Drosophila melanogaster: one gene and its partner. The protein of the gene in region 2 interacts with the protein of the main gene of each other region in a pairwise test. Each region holds a gene or a part of one and is shown on either strand. Other genes may lie near its edges.

Evidence for each region.
Region 1: the proteins of sphe (region 2) and Acp95EF interact in a two-hybrid assay, tested with the Drosophila melanogaster proteins (one large-scale study listed by BioGRID).

What each region holds. Positions count from the first base shown.
Region 1 is NT_033777.3:24,226,644-24,229,779, reverse strand, and holds Acp95EF (accessory gland protein 95EF), read right to left. Parts: upstream 806-3,136; 5' UTR 789-805; coding exon 771-788; exon of another isoform or gene 709-770; coding exon 568-708; 3' UTR 501-567; downstream 1-500. Other genes in the region: Spase22-23 (spase 22/23-subunit), read left to right, coding at 1-362; CG13609 (uncharacterized protein), read right to left, coding at 1,562-2,656; Spps (Sp1-like factor for pairing sensitive-silencing), read left to right, coding at 3,125-3,136.
Region 2 is NC_004354.4:16,699,905-16,703,896, reverse strand, and holds sphe (spheroide), read left to right. Parts: upstream 1-1,924; 5' UTR 1,925-1,999; coding exon 2,000-2,220; intron 2,221-2,484; coding exon 2,485-3,013; 3' UTR 3,014-3,451; downstream 3,452-3,992. Other genes in the region: CG9673 (uncharacterized protein), read left to right, coding at 35-267, 389-941; CG9676 (uncharacterized protein), read left to right, coding at 3,759-3,985.

The DNA of each region.
Region 1 (3,136 bases), on a different chromosome or scaffold from region 2:
AGCACGACTTGGGCTTCGTGACCTTCGATCTGCAAACGAATCTCACAGGCATCTTCAACTGGAACGTGAAGCAGCTGTTCCTGTATCTCACCGCCGAGTACCAGACACCGGCCAATCAACTCAACCAGGTGGTACTGTGGGACAAGATTATCCTGCGCGGCGACAATGCCGTATTGGACTTCAAGAACATGAACACCAAGTACTACTTCTGGGACGACGGGAATGGCCTGAAGGACAACCGCAACGTATCGCTATACCTCTCGTGGAACATCATTCCGAACGCGGGACTCCTTCCCTCCGTTCAGGCCACTGGAAAGCACCTGTTCAAGTTCCCGGCCGACTATGCCACCTCGTCCATTTAGAGCTTAGGGCTAATGCTAAATACAGCTGGTTCCGCCCGGGTTCCCTAGCTTGTAGTGTCTATCTAATAAAACCCCAAATAAAATATCTTTGTAAAGATTTCGAACTGTATCCCAAACGAAAGAAACTTAAGAGAAATTCGTTGAAAATAATTTATTTTTGGTCCATTTTTATAATGACAATTTTATCTATAGCTTTCTATAGTAATTAACCAGCGAGTGACTGCAGAGCGCCAGCACTTAGTTTTCGGTCTTTCGTCTCAAATCTGGGTTTGGCAGTCGAACTAGGGTTCAACACTGCAGCTGAGGTGTTAAGGGATAGAGCTACAACCAAAATAGCAATAAAGAACTGTGCGAAAATTTTAAAAAATATTAGATTTTGGAACGCAGATATGATTAGTACCAACACACCAATTTTACTGAGGCCATGTTGATATCCGCTAAAGAAATCGAAAACTATACTAAAAATGTGTAAAAGATCTCCAATATATATATGACTGGTATTCAAGGCCGCATCGAATGGGTTCGTTTCAAAATTTAAAACTGAATCAAATTCGTTAACATTTTTTACAAGGCTTACGCAATGAAAAAGACTAATTGACCTTTGAAAATGTAATCCTTAAGACGAAGATGATGAACCCAACATATGAAAATACTTATTCGATCAATTCACAACTAATACGAAAAGGAAAGGATTTTGCATTCGGAAGATTATTTTTATTTCAAACTTCCTAAATAGAAGCATTCATTAGATTACTTATTTTACAGTCGGGGTTTTTTTTTTAATGTCTATTAATGCTGCAGCATCTGACATGCGATAACACAGTTGTCCTTGACCTAGTTGTAGAACATAAACATAATAGATGCACATCAAAAATGTTTATTTATAAGATCGGTTAAGTTTTAATATGGCAACGTATGACAGACATTCGTAATACAAACTTGCGTAAATGCATTCAGGAGTTCGCAGTTTTATGATTATTTATCTGATTACATATTTTAGCCTTGGTATGTTTTCCCACTGGGGACGTGCGAGCGTATCTTGTTTAAATATTCTTTGGTCTATATTTATAATAATTAAACAAAAAAAAAAAAAATATCTAATTATAAAACAATACTTTCTTCGATGACTATAAATTTGATATACCTAGAGTTCAAATAAATATTTTAAATATACTTTGAGATCATCTTGAGATACTTGTTTACTCTTTGTTTCTCGCCTTTTGGCGATGTTCGTCTAATACTTCCCGCAATCGCTTGACGAAATTAGCTTGATCTCTCGGAATAAAGCCCAGGAAGGCGTTCCTCGGGGACGAATACAGCAGCATGATAACCTTGCAGACGACCTCGGAGGAAAATCGGGCACAGCCACAACTGCCGGCGGACATTGATGATGCTAGCGAGTCGTGTTCTTCTCCAGGTGTCGATCGGAGAATTATAAGTTTCGAGTCCTTTATAAACGCTCCGGCGAACTGACCAAGATAAATTGAAGGCATCAAAACCATAGGCATATCAGTTGGCCAATCCTCCGCACTGATCCCGGGATCACCGTTTTTTATAGCTATGTACACGGAACACTCAAGCTTGTGACTAATGCTTGGCTCCTCTAAACTTGCTTGTGTCGACCAATTCAGCGATCCAGTCCATAGGAGTTCATTTATAATGGCATCTTCCTCCACAGGAGGCGGTTCTTCTGGCTGTGGCTGCTTGGGTGTTTTGACGCCCGGCTTTCGTTTTGCACCCTGAAGAATCTCCTGCAGTCGTTCGCTAAACGAATCCTCATTGTTGGGTATGAAGCCAACCAAAGCTTGATGATCGCGCGAGTAGATGAGAATTAGAGCCTTGATGTTGCAGTTGGGATTGGAGGGGAAGTGGATGCAACCAGCGAAACCAGAGCTCATCGCCGTGATCAATAAATTGAGTACCTCTCCTTGGCTGGATCGGAATACAACCATCCTGGCATCCTTTAGGAATTGTTCGCCAATTTTACCCAGCACTTTTTTGGGTATCAGTTGTGTTTTCAGCTTGTTTGGCCAGTTCTCCGTGTTGATCTCCGGCTGACCTTCTTTAACCATGGAGCAGATTTTGCATTGGACCGTGTGCAGAGTCTTCGGTTGATCCAATATCTGTGCATCCTCCCATTCGAGCTCTCCACTCCAAATTGTTTCCTTTGAGTCACCATTTTCAGGATTTTCCGGTTCTTTTTGCAAAAGCAACGCCCCAATCATATGTGTTAGACAATCGAGTTCCCCTTCGTCATCACCCACTCCTCGGGCTTCCTCTGGAACCGGCTCCATGCCCCTTTCAAGATGCAATCTAATTAAATATGGATTTTGTCGGATAGGCAACTTGTCGGTTAAAAATTTGTTTATCTGTGATATGCTTCTTCTTGCTTTTAGCGGTTTGTTATTGGTATCGCACTATCGGTTGGCTGGTTGGTCGATTGGCGGCCATCGAGATGCAACGCAATGCAACCCTGGCCAATCACTCTCACTTCTTCTTCTGCGTTTGTGTCAAAACAAAATTAAAACTAAAAACTCGCTAAAACCGTCTCGCAGCGCAATTATCTTTAGACTTCGTGTTATTTATGTGTTTGAATGTTAGCGTCGGCACCCCGCATCCCAGTGTTCATAACCCCATGTGTGCCACCTTGGTTTAAATGCTACCAATCTCCTGGCAGAGTAGCGCGTCTGAGCGAATAAAAAAACTGAACATGTTTCGCTCCAAGCACTTGTGATTGACCAAATCTCATCTAAAGCCCTGCCATGCTGCAGTAC
Region 2 (3,992 bases):
GCTGATGGGCCCATTCAGTTGCCAATCCATCGCCATGGCTGATCCACGCATTACTCTCGGCCTCGGCCTGCTAATCTTTGGCCTGATCCTCTCCGCGGAAGCCTCGCCACAAGGTCGCATTCTTGGCGGCGAGGACGTTGCCCAGGGCGAGTACCCCTGGTCCGCATCCGTGAGATACAACAAGGCCCACGTCTGCTCCGGCGCCATCATCTCAACAAACCACATCCTGACCGCCGCCCACTGTGTGTCCAGCGTGGGCATCACCCCGTGAGTTCTAACTACACTTTATGATTATATACACTTGGATTCCCTAAGCACTTCACTTTGAGAACTTTAAGAATATATATTCATCTACCAGTTCTAATCCCTATTTGTTCTAAATCCCCAGAGTGGATGCCAGCACCTTGGCTGTTCGCCTGGGCACCATTAACCAGTACGCCGGCGGCAGCATTGTGAATGTAAAGAGCGTGATCATCCATCCATCGTACGGAAACTTCCTGCACGACATCGCCATACTGGAGCTGGACGAGACCCTGGTCTTTAGCGATCGCATCCAAGACATCGCACTGCCCCCCACAACTGATGAGGAGACGGAAGATGTGGACGCTGAGCTGCCCAACGGAACTCCGGTCTATGTGGCTGGATGGGGTGAACTTTCGGATGGTACTGCATCCTATAAACAGCAGAAGGCCAACTACAATACGCTGAGCCGATCCCTGTGCGAATGGGAAGCCGGATACGGCTACGAATCCGTCGTCTGCCTCTCGAGAGCCGAGGGCGAGGGCATCTGTCGTGGGGATGCCGGTGCGGCTGTCATCGATGACGACAAGGTGCTTCGCGGTTTGACCAGCTTCAACTTCGGACCCTGCGGCAGCAAGTATCCGGATGTGGCCACCCGTGTCTCCTACTACCTAACCTGGATCGAGGCCAATACCCAGTAAAACTTTTGGTTCGCCATCCAAGGACTACCCTTTATTTTTTTATACATTTTTTTCATGTGCATAAAGTGTGTTACTCCCTCTACAAAAAAAAACGTTTTGTGTTTTTAACTTTATATGGATGCAAACTATATGGAATTTAGTGCTGGTCATAAAGCTACAATCGATAGAATAACATTTAATTGGCGCCGTTCAAAGGTTCTTTAATTACTAAGAAATTACCTTGAAACCTGTTTCTAATTTATGGGATGCCGTCAAGGATTATCTAACAAAATTGCCAAGTAAATGGTCACAACAATTGGCTATTATTGTTTATGGAGTCATATATATTAGAGAGTATGGCTATTTAACAGAACATTTAGATAGAGATCGAAGGAAATCGCCGTAATCAACCTGGGAACCAAACTTTTGTGCAGCTAGCTTGATCAATCGCCAATGACTGGGCTAAATCTTTATAATCCAGATTTGTTATCGCCAAGCTAAAGGGTAATTCCTACTAAATACGTTGATAATTTGCTTACATTCAAGGCAATTTTATAGAGTTTAATTAACACCAAAATGTTTAGACATTTTATTGAAAGAGCAACTCAAAAAATCCAAAGTTTTCCACGACTGATTTTAGATTATTCTGAGACCTGAAGCACCCTAATTTCCGTAGCTCCCCTGAGTCATGTGTTACTCATCATTATCTCCTATAGATGGTTGTAGTTGTACTGTCACTGGACACTGGTCGTTTGGTTTATTTGGACTTCCCTTCAACCGACTTGTGCAATTTTCTATTTATGTGCCAATTAATCGGTGAACTAACAAGTAACAATAGTCTATAGCGGCATAAAGCCATTGCCATAAGGCGATAAGATTAGATTTTCTCTGATGCCCAAGCCGAAGATAAGGATTGGTCAAGGAAGTGGTGGAGAACTTCGGGTAGAAGGTGGAGGAGGTGGTAGTTATATGGAGCTAGTCTCTTATATTCTCGTCGCTGGCATTGCGCATTTTCATTCCAACTGCCGTGGGTAGCAGAACCACCAAATAAAAAACCAAAAAAAAAATACAGGAACAAAATGATGCAGCCGAGACTAGTGATTTTGGGTCTGATCGGATTGACGGCGGTGGGCATGTGCCACGCCCAGGGACGCATCATGGGAGGGGAGGACGCGGACGCCACAGCCACGACCTTCACCGCCTCCTTGCGGGTGGACAATGCCCATGTGTGCGGCGGTAGCATTCTCTCCCAGACCAAAATCCTGACCACCGCCCACTGTGTGCATCGCGATGGAAAGCTGTGAGTACCAAAGTCAATCTACTAATTAATTAATTTTTACTACTAATTAATTGATTCATATTATTAATATTAAGTGCTCTTAAATAGTGGAAGTAGCAAATATGTAGTTTGGTTTGTACAACTAGGCGAATGAGTGATATTTGAAGATGGCCTATGCCTCGAATAACCATGTATTCCCTTTTTGTTTAAACCATTATATACAATACATTCAATACAAAAGTCTTGATAAAGTAATCTAGATTATTCTCACGAAATCCCCAACAGAATCGATGCCAGTCGCCTGGCGTGCCGCGTGGGCAGTACCAACCAGTATGCTGGTGGCAAGATTGTCAACGTGGAATCGGTTGCAGTGCATCCGGACTACTATAATCTGAACAACAACCTGGCCGTGATCACGCTGAGCTCTGAGCTGACCTACACCGATCGGATCACTGCCATCCCGCTGGTCGCCAGCGGAGAGGCACTGCCCGCCGAGGGATCGGAGGTGATCGTGGCCGGCTGGGGACGCACCAGCGACGGCACCAACTCCTACAAGATCCGTCAGATATCGCTAAAGGTGGCCCCGGAGGCGACCTGCCTGGATGCGTACAGCGATCACGACGAGCAGAGCTTCTGCCTCGCCCACGAGCTGAAGGAGGGCACCTGCCACGGAGACGGAGGCGGTGGTGCCATCTATGGCAACACGTTGATCGGGCTGACCAACTTTGTGGTGGGCGCCTGTGGCTCCCGCTATCCGGATGTCTTTGTCCGACTCTCCAGCTACGCGGATTGGATCCAGGAGCAGATCGCCTAGATCCGTTTCATCCCGTTTTTCCTTCACAAGCTAACAAAATAGAAACTATTTTCCCAAACTCAAAGCGGGCAAAATGACTCAATAGTTTGATTTTGATAAGGATAAGGATCGGTGATTGCCACTGGACTTGTGGTTAACGTAATAATCGCTAACTAAGCATGCTTATTTATTGTATTTATGACCTCAATGGCATGGCTTTTATAGCCCAGAACTCGAGTCATCGATAAAGCATTCCGGTTTTAGGGTCAATTTAGGCAAGCTTTACGTAATTTGGGCCTACAATTAGTTATATAAGGAAACTTGAAGACTTTTCAAAATCCAAAACCAAACCTTTTTTTTAAATGCCTTCTTTTGCTGTTCGAAACTGAAGAGATCTGCACTTTAAGATCTAATAATTATAATAAATGTGCAATAATTATGCAATAGGAAACTTTCGGCAAATTTCGTTTAAACATTTTCGTGCTTCCTTAACCCTTTTCGTCCAACTTTGACCTCCAAACTCTTACCACCGTGCGTTGCACACCCCTTGTAATTAGAGGGGCTTCATTTGCGAACGAAATGGGGTAACTAAACTAAATTAGGCAGCAGCTCGATAGCGACATTGACTTTGACATTTTAAGGAACTAATGATGATGAGCGTCTTAGATTTGGGTAGTATATATGCATACATATACATATATATATATATACATCCAGTGAAACTTGCAGTGAGCACTGCTTTTCAGTTAGCTAAGCCCAACCAGTCATGTTACCATTCTGGACATCTCTACTCGTCCTTTGCGCAGCCGGAGTCCTGGCACAAAACGATTCCGTAGTGGAGCCCCGCATTGTGGGCGGCACCAAGGCGAGGGAGGGTCAGTTTCCTCACCAGATCTCACTACGTCGACGTGGAAGCCACACTTGTGGTGGCTCCATAATCTCCAAGGACTACGTTGTCACCGCCGCCCATTGCGTTAAGCAAGGCAACAATGTGTAGGTA